Arabidopsis thaliana: one gene and its partners. The protein of the gene in region 1 interacts with the protein of each later gene in a pairwise test. Each region holds a gene or a part of one and is shown on either strand. Other genes may lie near its edges. The genes, in order: MYB30, AT3G03000 and CXIP2.

What was found.
Region 2: the proteins of MYB30 (region 1) and AT3G03000 interact in a two-hybrid assay, tested with the Arabidopsis thaliana proteins (one large-scale study listed by BioGRID).
Region 3: the proteins of MYB30 (region 1) and CXIP2 interact in a two-hybrid assay, tested with the Arabidopsis thaliana proteins (one large-scale study listed by BioGRID).

Annotation. Positions count from the first base shown.
Region 1 is NC_003074.8:10,909,188-10,913,778, reverse strand, and holds MYB30 (myb domain protein 30), read right to left. Parts: upstream 2,648-4,591; 5' UTR 2,337-2,647; coding exon 2,204-2,336; exon of another isoform or gene 1,878-2,203; coding exon 1,748-1,877; intron 1,632-1,747; coding exon 923-1,631; 3' UTR 589-922; downstream 1-588.
Region 2 is NC_003074.8:675,495-678,812, reverse strand, and holds AT3G03000 (EF hand calcium-binding protein family), read right to left. Parts: upstream 1,574-3,318; 5' UTR 1,426-1,573; coding exon 928-1,425; 3' UTR 633-927; downstream 1-632. Other genes in the region: HSFA1E (heat shock transcription factor A1E), read right to left, coding at 2,825-3,318. UniProt on the Arabidopsis thaliana protein: Potential calcium sensor that modulates ion selectivity of NHX1.
Region 3 is NC_003071.7:16,030,663-16,034,981, reverse strand, and holds CXIP2 (CAX-interacting protein 2), read left to right. Parts: upstream 1-1,812; 5' UTR 1,813-1,927; coding exon 1,928-2,308; intron 2,309-3,134; coding exon 3,135-3,635; 3' UTR 3,636-3,797; downstream 3,798-4,319. Other genes in the region: FAC1 (AMP deaminase, putative / myoadenylate deaminase), read left to right, coding at 76-129, 211-321, 395-568, 792-872, 965-1,063, 1,147-1,215. UniProt on the Arabidopsis thaliana protein: May only reduce GSH-thiol disulfides, but not protein disulfides. Participates probably to the maturation of iron-sulfur proteins and to the regulation of the redox state of the BOLA proteins.

The DNA of each region.
Region 1 (4,591 bases):
CTTAAAAACCAAAGGAGAAGCTAAATTAATGGCGATATTGACTTCTTCATACTTAGTAACTATGTGATGTAAGTCACACAACTCACAAGGTCACAAGAAAGAAAGTCAAACTTTAATTCTTCATCACTTTCAATATTTATAGTGCCAATCCATCCCGTTTTTAAAATTTATATTTATCTTTTTATAATTAGTTTCTTTAAACCTTGTCGGCCCTATTTATTTCATGCAATAAATATTTCGTTAATTTTTCTTTACTAGTACTATTTTCTTTATTAGTAGGTCTTTCAAATTCACCAATAGTAAGGCTATCTTTAAATCTAAGATTTCATTTATTGAGCGGCGCCATTTGACACTCTAAAATAAATGTTAAGTGTTTTCCTTAGTGAGTTAACGGTTAATTTAAGGAAAATAAATTGACAATTAAGTGCAAGTTGTAAGTATTTGATTATTAATTCTATATCCCACACTTACTAGGCTACTACACATTAGGACTAATTAATCCGGATATGAGCGAGCATTTTTTGGTCATTCTCCAATATATATATGTAATTTTTTTGTCAGTGTATGTTTAATTTGTAACAGAATTACTTTTAGGTTAACATCTCAAAAGTAAATCATACTTACAAGTTACAAAGCAAAAGAAAAATCAAGCAATAACAACATTTTAATAAATAAAAAATAGATATAGGATTTTACACCAATACTACTAAAATCATTGGGTGGACATTTTTCAGGCCCCTTCAGAATTCACAGGGCCATATATAAAACAACCCCATCATTAATTGTAAATTAAAGAGGGAAAATAAATAAAATTATTACTGATTTATCTCACGATAATCTAAGCGAGTTAATTTGGAAAACCCAAAAAAAAAAATAGAGATGAGGATCCTAAAATTAGAACCATGTGATTAAAGCAAACTCTTCAGAAGAAATTAGTGTTTTCATCCAATAGAATATCACCAATCTGTCCACCAGAATCCTCAAACAACCACTTCTCAAACAAAGACCATTGACTTTGGTTACTGCAGCATCCAGTTATGTCTGGTTTGGTCTCATGATCAGGTGAAACACCAGCCTGTTGATATGAGTGATCAAACTCAGAAAATGACTGAAATGCCCCTGCACACTCCTTCCCATCATCACTCTTGATCACTTCTTTTACCTCTGTAGAAGCGATTTGATCCGCGGAGTTTTGAGTCTTCGGCGAGTTTTTCACCCACCCTTTGAGCAATTTCGCGATATTTTCGGTGCTTGAGGCATAAGTTGTAGATGTTTCTTGCGTCCTAAGAAACCCGCTAGCTGAGGAAGTAGAGCGTCTTGATTCAGCAGAGGAAGACGTTGTTGTCACTGTAGATGTAATGATTGGTGCAACGGCAGGAGATAAAGCCTCAGAGAGAGCCTTTTTCGCCAAGTGGATATCGGTTTGAAGTCGCCTTTCCCATTGGCCTCTTGAGATGTTTGAGTTGGAATTAGCAGAAGAAGACGATGGTGAAGATGAGAGCGAGGAACGGTCAAGTTCTTGATGAGAATCTTGATTGACTTTGTTGAGTTTCTTCTTCAAATGAGTGTTCCAATAGTTCTTAATGTCATTGTCTGTCCTTTGTGGAAGATATGACGCAATTGCAGCCCATCTACACCAAATATTAAATGCTCTCTATTAAAAATCAAAACAAATCTTCTAATTTTCGAAAGAAAATGTGTGAAGAGACAAAATTAGAGAAATTGAAAAGTCATTATTATTTTTTACCTATTTCCTAAGAGGGCTTGGAGATGAACAATCATCTTTTCTTCATGTTCTGTGAAATTGCCTCTTTTGATTCCTGGCCTTAAATAGTTTGTCCATCTAAGTCTACAACTCTTGCTGCATCTAAGCAGCCCTGAAAATTTATAAGAACGAACAAATATTGAGAACCGATGAGAAAATATATAAATAACAAGATCTCATGCATTAGATCTTAATTTCATGGTCAATAAACAAAACCCTAATTTCTACATATGTTTTCATTAAGCTGATTCCACAATCTTAAAGACCTAAAGAAGAACCAAATGAAGATCAAAACCAATTTGGAGAACACAAATTTCAATCCAAACCAATTTGATTCCTTGTCTATCTCTCACTCTCATAGATTAAATCCAAATAATATCTACATACAAATCTATAGAGAGGTAGAGAGGAGAGATGATGAATGAAGATTATACATACCAGTATTGGTAGGAACAGCTCTCCAATTACCAGGACCATGTTCTTGGATGTAAGTGACTAAAATGATATCTTCTTCAGGAGTCCATGGCCCTTTCTTCACTCCTCCTTTGTCACAACAAGGAGGCCTCACCATTATGATCTTGAACTCCCTTAATTAACTAATTAATTCTTTATTAACCACTCCCTTTGTTTCCCACTATAACTCTTTGCCAAGAAAAATAGAAGAAAATTGAAACTACTTTAGGTGGTAATGAGTCACACTACCCTTAGTACACTAATTAGTACGCTTAGCTCTGAAATGGATCTAATGGTTAAGCTTGGCGACAAAGGTCTATGTCCACTTCTTCTTCTATATATATATATAAAAGGAGAAAGAGAAATTTGCTGACCCCTCTTGGTCTTGGACTCTTGGGTCTCTCAAATTGTATAGATAATAAATAAAAGTATATAAAAAATGTGTAAAGCATTAACTACAAAAGTGGAGGTAAAGCCTCCAAAGTCAGCTGTGTGGCAAAAGGAAAAGTCTCTACCCTCCATACAAAACCGCGTGGCATTCAATGTGGGCTTGCTTCTTTCAAAAACCCTAATAACACAAACAAAAAAAATATTATTGGGTTTAATAATTTATTGGTTTATGTTATTATTAAAAAATAAAGAATAATGGGGACATGCATGATAACATGATAATGATATATGATATGATATCTCCCTCTCTCACTTTTGATTTATTGCTACGATAATTTTAAGAATTGAATAGTGGCTATTGCATTTATGTGTATTGCATAGGCTTTGTTAATAATAGAAATTAATGAAAGGGTCTTTTGACGAACGAGATTTTCTCTGCGTCATGATTTGCTGTTTTGGTTGTTTTTTTATCAAAACGAATAGTTTTTTTTTTTAAGATATAGAAGAAAAGAAAAAATTGCTGTTTTGGATTGAACCAGTGGGTCTTTGGCCATTGTCAAACTACATGATGGTCTACGTCATTCATGATGTTAGCGACTTCTCCATATATAGATTTATATGCGTTTATATGTATTACGTTACATAAACATATATGAATACATGATGTTGAACGTTTTATTCGGGTAAGGTTCGCGATTAGTGTTAATGGACCACAATTTGAGTTTATAGTAAACATAGTTTTAGATGGAATTAATTGTACGTTACATATGTCGTTATCGTAGGTGGTGAAAAGAAATATAGAGATATTTGTATGAGAATTTGGTATACAAGATAATGAAGATTTTTGGATTTGATAGACACAAGTCATACAGCCACATTAAGTTTTGATGAAATTAATTGTACGTTATATATGTCAATATCGTAGGTGGTGAAAAGAGATTAAGAGATATTTGTATGAGAATTTGGTATAGTAGATAATGAAGATTTTGGATTGATAGACACAAGTCATATACAACTATATCTATTTATGTGAACATGTGTATGTATGTAAATGTCAACAAGTAAAAAGGATGAAATCAATTTGGTTTTCACGAGGCCGGAAGAAAAGGAAGAAGAAGAGACACGAGACTACTTTAATTTCTTCTCTTTTGTCAATGTTGTGCTATAATTTATTTATATAGGTAGGAATTTTGAATGACAATTTGTACAAGTGTGAAATTTTCACTTTGTGGAAAGTTTATGATTTACGTTAGATATAATAATAAAGTTGTGTTAAACAGGCTGTTTAATCAAACATATGGAATGAAACTCGAAAAGGTTTTTGTCTACATAACCACTTTGAAAATGCATGGTCTTTCTTTAATCATAAACAAAACTGCTTAAGTATGTTTTTTTTCCACGTACAATGTCCCGTTTTCTGTTTAACCATTAGTAAAACGGTAAGTAGATATCTTACTGTTTTCATTTGTATTATTTTTATTTACTAAGAAGTAATTTTTATCCATTAAAAATATAGATATATTTTTTAAAGAAATATTAAATTATATTCAAAGAAAAATAACATTTGTACCGTGAAATTGAAATGAGGTACAAGAATTTGCTACTTAATTTCGAGAGTCGAACCAAGTTTGTAATCCTTTGTAATTTTGTTTTGTTTACAGGTTAGATTCGTATCTTTTGGATTTGAAATTTTTTTAATTTTTTTTTTACAAGTTCATCATTACATTGAATTATCACTCCTTGCCATAATATTTTAGTACCAAGTTGCAAATCCGAATTTTTATTGAATGTAATTATGTAATACGAAAATTCGACGGCCACAAAAATGGGAGATGTATACTTTATAATATATTGTAATAGATTTGGTATTTTCTTTTACTAGTATATATTATTTCACATAACGCATTCAAGTGTAAGGATATGAATCATCATAATAAGTATGGAGGTGGAATATAAAGAGGCATAATATTCTTGAAAAATATA
Region 2 (3,318 bases), about 10 Mb from region 1:
CAACATTTGCTGATTATCCACAACATTTTAAAGATGAAGTTTTGATGCTCTCCTTTGTTTTGTCTATTGTATCTATAAACTGAAGCGTTTAAGCTACGAATTGATTTTGACTGATTTTGTCCTAAGGAGAGTCTAATTCCTGCGCAACAGCTAATCAAAATATACAGCATAAGTGTTTCACTTCTTGCTATAGTTAGTGGTCGTTTGCTAAAATAGTATTGATGTCACTGTATATCGTGCTACCAATTACTATATATTTCCGGGAATACTGCTTGTAATATCCATTTCAAATGTTTGTTTATTCTGAGTTCTAGCATTTAGCATAGTCAATGAATGCGTATACACTCAAAGATTGTTAGTTGTTAGCAACATGTGGGCTAAATCTATGTAACTCGTGCAGGACTGGTTGAAGAAGACATGTGGGCTAAATCTATGTAATAACTCTTGGATTCACAAATCATTTGACATATCTCGGTGACAAATTTGTTTTCCCTTCTCCTTAACCATTATTGGGGATCGTTTTCGAATTTACATGAATTTGTGCAATTGTCTTACTAGAAGATCATAATCATACGATATTTGCTGATTATCCCCCATACATATAAAGATAAAGAGTCAGTTTTGATGCTTTCTTTTGTTTTGCATATTGAGAGACCTTTATCTCCATAAACTAAAGTGGCTAAAGCGACGGGTGGAGAAGTGACTCACACGCATAGCAAAGTTTTCTTGCCCTAAAACCAACAATGATAGCTTTCTCTTCAAGCTATCAAAATTTCATCAAAGAATAATATGAAACAATAAATAACACACATTTTCCATGGAATCGCACCTACACACATATACTTCCAAATGTCTTTGATTTGAGGATGAAGCCAAAAAAACAAAACACAAGTATTTCAAACTATGTATATATATACCTTTCTTTCTTCAACCCCAAGCATTATCAAACGCAGCTGAAGTAATCGCTTGAACAAACTCTTGGAAATCAATACAACCATCGCCGTCTCGATCAGCTTCTTTGATCATTCCCGTTAACTCCTCCGCCGTCAACGCGTGACCTAGCTTCGCCATCGAATGGGCTAACTCCGCCGCCGTTATGTAACCGTTTCCATCGCGGTCAAACATTCTAAAGATGGCTTTAAGCTGATCATCCGTGTAAGGACACTTGACCAGATCTGGCTCGACGAGGGCGACGAACTCGGAGAACTCGACCAGTCCGTTGTTATTCCGATCTGCTTTCTGGATCAATGTGTCGAGTTGGTCTTGACTCGGCTTTAGACCGAGAGATCTTAGAAGTGAGCCTAACTCGAGCTCCGTCAAACTTCCATCCTTGTTCTGGTCAAATGATCGGAATATCTCCCGGAGCTCCGCTAGTTGTTCGTCGCCTAGTTTCGCCGGCGCCGGTTTGCCTCCGTCGCAGCTCATCTCGAATCTGATTTTGAATACTGTCAAGCTTCGATTTCGATGAACAACATTTTTCTTTTTAGAGTTGATTTGTTTCTTCTTGACAAGTCAACGATGACAGGTAATGGATTACAAATTTCAAACGAGTAAAGATTTTGATTTTCTTATTAATGAGCAAGAGAATAAAAATTTTATTTTATTTAAATCAAATAAATGATTGTGGATGGAATACGAAATTTTTTAAATTAAATTATTAATTGAACCAATTATTGGAACGGTCAAAGGTTGTTCGGTGGAGGGAAAACAGTCGTGCTAAGCGTTAATTCACCGGAACTGGTTTGTAGAAATGGATGCCAAAAGATTTCTTGACAATAGAAAAATGTTATAGCTTTGATTCGTATTTTAAAGAAGATAATATTTTCGACATTTGTTAGCTATATATGAATCGAGTGTTCGACATACGTTATATATTGCATGCATGAATGTTCAAATTTTCTTTCAGAGTAACTATTTTATCCTTAATATATGGTCTTTATCAATTCTTTTAACAAATTACATGTTTATTAATGTTCATATCCTCTTTTAAAGCAATATATCCATGAGATATCTGTGAAATTTATCATATGTAAAATATTTATATAGTTTTCAGAAATAGATATATATCATATAAGCTATATAAATTACAACTAATGGTAATATCATATGTAATGTTGTATGTAATGTTAAAAGCAAGTTTAAGATTGATACAAACGACAAATGGATCTGGTTCGGTTGCAGTTTCAGAGCTTAACATATGCATGTACATACACTTTGATTCCGTGTAATCAATGACTTGATCCTTTTAAACCACTTTGTTACTATATCCACACGACACACGTTCTTCCTTTTTACTCTCTCTTTAGATGATTTCCTTTAGACGAAATTGGAACATTAGTTTTACTCAAGAAACTAAAAGTGAAGGACTGATAAAAAAACACTAAAGCAGGTAAGATTTGGCCACAGGTTAACCAAAATGCCAATTTTTGCACTTAATGTAACAAAAATAAACAAGGATCTCTAAAGACATACACAAGAACAGAAGAATATCTCTCACTTTGAAGCATCTCCTTTTCATTCTGTCAGTAACAAACAAAGATATTGCAATGCAAAAATCTTTTAAGGCAATATTTCTCTTATTTTATTATACATTGACAAGAATTAGAGTTACAACAGTTTGATACATACATACATAGTACCTCCTTTGGTCATATTCTTTTTGTTGTTGCGGCTCCACAAAATCTTAACCCATCTGCGATAACAAGACAAAGACGAGGGGTTTGGTTTTGCACAAAATTTAAATTTTGGAAAGTGTGTGGTTTATAACATATCAATATAGATAGACTGATTACCTCGTGAGGAAAGATTGTGGCCTGTGGCAATCTCATTTTCTGAGAGCATCTGATGTGAGAAGTCCCATCTGTTCAGTAAGATGGTTCATTTGTTGATTCTTGCTCCACACATTACTCAGGGTTGATTGTAACTCTAGTTGCTCCAATATCAGTTCATTTTCCACTGATCCTGAGATTAACTCATCTGTCTCACCAATCACTGGGCTCTCACCAATGAACTGTTCCCAAAAAGAATCTTGGACTTCAGGAAGCAACTCATTTAAGGTATCAGCTTCTAGTTCGAGTGCGCCATCCAAAACAGCCATTATTGGATCCAAACACTCTCCATTATCTGTCTCGCATCCAACAAGATCCGAACTTGAGCTCCCAGAAGCTGCTGCTCCTTGCGTTGGAGGTAAGAGATCACCTTGAGAAAAAGGCAAATTGGTCTCCATGACTTGATTTGTTTCACAAGGCTCGTGGTACTTCATTGCAGGATAGAAGCCTGCAGGAATGGATGAAACATCTGCCAATGTAACTTCAGGTG
Region 3 (4,319 bases), on another chromosome or scaffold:
ATTCCTCTTAGTCGCTTCTGTAACTAACTTGGTGTTCTCAAAACTGTGTAATATGGAGTAACTATTTTTCTTCAGCTTCGAGAGTCAAAGGGCATGACTACTATCACGCTACGACCACATTCTGGAGAGGTGTGTTATTTCTTCCTTTGTGCTAGATAAACAGTTTTCAGTTACAGTTCAGTGGAATTTTAACATGTCTACAAATTTCAGGCTGGTGACATTGACCACTTGGCTGCTACGTTTCTAACATGCCATAGCATCGCACATGGAATCAATCTGCGAAAGTCTCCTGTGCTTCAGTATCTGTACTACCTCGCCCAGGTTTGTGGAGACTGCCTGCATGTATTACATATGTATTATTGTTTCTGTTCTAAGAAGACATTTCTTTTGACAGATTGGTCTGGCCATGTCACCACTGAGCAACAACTCTTTGTTTCTAGATTACCACCGGAACCCGTTTCCTGTGTTTTTCTTAAGAGGTCTCAATGTTTCTCTGTCTACTGATGACCCCCTTCAGATTCACTTAACTAAAGAACCTCTCGTGGAAGAGTATAGCATAGCTGCATCAGTAAGTCATAATCTTTCCATTATGCAGTCTTGCCACACATCATAGGCCTTGAAAAGTTGATTATATTTTTAAAAGTCTTATTAGTTATTACCTTTAAATGATTTATACTGATCTTCTGCAATTGCAAACACGAAGAACAATGAAATTTCTCTCTATACATCCTTTTCTTCTAGGTTTTAGTTATATTTATGTATTAACTGAAGATGATAACTGGATTTTTCAGGTTTGGAAGCTGAGTGCGTGTGACCTGTGCGAGATAGCTCGTAACTCAGTGTACCAGTCAGGTTTCTCACACGCCCTGAAGGTACTTGTTATATCAACATGGCCCATAGTATGAATGAACAAGATGTCTCTGTTCCGATCTACTAATAATACTAACTTGTTGAGATGTTCCAGTCGCACTGGATTGGAAAAGATTACTACAAAAGAGGACCTGATGGAAACGACATTCACAAAACAAACGTGCCACACATAAGGGTGGAGTTCCGTGACACGGTATGGAATGAAATATATTTATTCTTCACACAAGTTAATTTCTCTTTGTAGGAAAACAAATTAAAAATATGAAGTTGATGCAGATCTGGAAAGAGGAGATGCAACAGGTTTATCTGGGCAAGGCTGTTATCTCTGATGAAGTTGTTCCATAAAAACCACAATCAGAAATGGCAAGACGTAAGAATCCAACATGTATGTAACAACTCAATGATCTTATCACTTCTGTTACAACATTTTCTTATGATGTCAATGATTGAATTTCAGATTGCAGGGGAACAAAGAGAGCATTTTGAGAAGTATACGAAAGCAGGAACCTAGTAGATAGGGTAATAATATGAGTGGCTCTGTGCCCTGAGAAAGCGATTAGGCTGTGCCAAAATCTTATTGTTTTATAAAGCTTTTTAGATAATGAGATACAAAGAGACCAGTTGAGAACCGGTTTTAATATAATGGATTTCAGTTTTTGGATTACATACTGTTTTAACTTGGATTCAGATTCAATTTTTAATCAGAAATAGCATTATGTTCGAAATCCAATTTTGTTTGTTTGTTTTGGTTCTGTTTTAAACCATACTGAGATCTGTTTACCGGATTAAACACATGTTTTTGGGTCACATTGGTAGATTTGGCTTGATCATGAAGTGAACTAGACAAATGTTCCTTTTGTTTCATAACAGACTGAAGTATGGAATGTGTAAGAAAAAAGAAACTAAAGCGGGTCCCACTTTTCCGAATTATGGTATTTAAAACCCAAGTATCATAAGGCCTTAATAACAGTCCAATTCAGGCCCAATGGATAAAATCCTATGTCAAATAAAAGAGCTCATCATTTTCCACCGATAACTTTTCTCAGCTCCGACAAAAATGGCTGCAATCACCATTTCTTCCTCCTTGCACGCCTCAGCCTCTCCGCGTGTTGTTCGTCCACATGTTTCTCGAAATACCCCTGTGATCACCCTCTATTCACGCTTCACACCATCCTTCTCCTTCCCATCTCTCTCCTTCACACTCCGTGACACAGCTCCGTCTCGTCGTCGTTCCTTCTTTATCGCCTCCGCCGTCAAATCTCTAACGGAGACGGAGCTGCTTCCAATCACAGAGGCTGATTCAATCCCGTCCGCTTCCGGTGTATACGCTGTATACGATAAGAGCGACGAGCTTCAGTTCGTCGGAATTTCTCGGAACATCGCTGCGAGTGTCTCTGCTCATCTCAAATCTGTGCCGGAGCTTTGTGGCTCCGTTAAGGTACTTATCCATGATTTCATATAGAGGAGTAGCATGTCTGTTACTATAACGAAGGATTCTTTGTTTTGTTGTGGTTGACTTTTGTTTATTACTGTTCATAGATTTGGGAAGTGTTTTGGTAAATGAATACTACAAAAGTTCATCACTTTAGTTCCAGAGATAGTATTTCATATCATTAGGATCACTATTGTTTGCAAAACTAGAGCTAATGAAGTTCTTGGTTCTGTTGTTGGTAAGAGTTCTTTTAACAACACTTACCACACATTATGATTAGGAGATGCATCAATAGTTCATTTTGTATATGTTACTTAGGAGTTAGGACTTGTTTTTTTAGCATTTTCTTTTGATTAGTTTTTTAGGGAAATTCTACTCTATAGATACAGGACAGTGCGCATTGGCGAGATTTGTCGAGGTTTGAGAGGTATATCGGTTTTGTACCAATGGAGAGAACTGATTCTCTTTGGCATTTTGATTACCATTCTGTGTCAGGTTCTTTTAATTAATAACAAGAGCTTTTGTTTTTTTTGTGTCCATGATCCTTAACTGTATCAGCTTACAACAGTCAAATCTAAAGATTGCTCTTGAGAAATTTACATTTTTATGGGTTGTATTATTATCTTAAGAATTTACATTTTTCCTCTTTCTATCATTTATTTGTCACTTATTGCTTATATTTTGCTTATGATTTACTTATGTTATGATTATTTTAGTGTTTATTTGCTCCATTGACTCAATAGGACTTTGTTTATGCTCATGTGATGGATATTGACAAGTTTTGGTATTGTTGATATATCTTCCATAACTGATTTCATCATTGTTTTGCTAGGTTGGAATAGTAGAAGAACCAGATAAAGCAGTTTTAACACAAGCATGGAAATTATGGATAGAAGAACATATAAAAGTAACTGGAAAAGTTCCGCCGGGGAATAAGTCAGGGAACAACACATTTGTCAAACAAACTCCGAGGAAGAAATCCGATATCCGTCTCACTCCAGGTCGCCATGTTGAGCTCACGGTTCCTTTGGAGGAACTGATTGACCGTTTAGTGAAAGAGAGCAAAGTGGTAGCTTTCATAAAAGGATCAAGGAGTGCTCCTCAATGTGGATTCTCACAGAGAGTTGTTGGGATTCTTGAAAGCCAAGGAGTTGATTATGAAACTGTTGATGTTCTTGACGATGAGTATAATCATGGGCTAAGGGAGACGCTTAAGAACTACAGCAATTGGCCAACGTTTCCACAGATATTTGTGAAAGGAGAACTTGTAGGAGGATGTGATATTTTGACCTCAATGTATGAAAATGGTGAACTTGCCAATATCTTGAACTAGTTTCATCCGATTTTCTTCTCTATTTCTAGTTGTAACTCCAAACATTCATTATAGAGAAAACATGCTTGGATTCTCTTCCATAGTTACAGATTCGTTTTCTGTTTTCCGCATTTATAAAAGGTTACAGATTCTATACAAATCTAAGAGTAGGTTTAAAACGCATAACCATCCACTAAATTCACCTATTTTGTGGTCATTTAACCAATGATTTTTTTTTTTTTTTTTTTACACTAATTGTCCCTTTAAATATATATGTTGAAACAAAACATAATTGGAAATGGAGTTAAGTAACTATTGTTACGTTAAATGATTTAATTGATTAATTTAGTAGCATTCTTATTCTTGTAGCACGTTTATTAGAGAATTATTGTTCTTCTTTGACATAATCTTTGGGTGAACTAACACAAAATATTCATTTTAAGTACTAAATTCTCATTTGTAGGATGAATATCTCAAAAATAACACAAATATTCTATGGTATTCATTTGTTACAACTTATATGAGTAACAAACGTTCATGAAAATTGAAAAATATGATGATGACGAGGTTAGTTTATGGGTTGTATTTTCTTTTTATTTTTTTTTTGGAAACTGAAAAAAATTAAATGAACAAATAAAACAACAAGTCAACGGTCTCAAAAATTCGATTACATAAAAACAAAACAATAAAAAAATATAAGTCAGA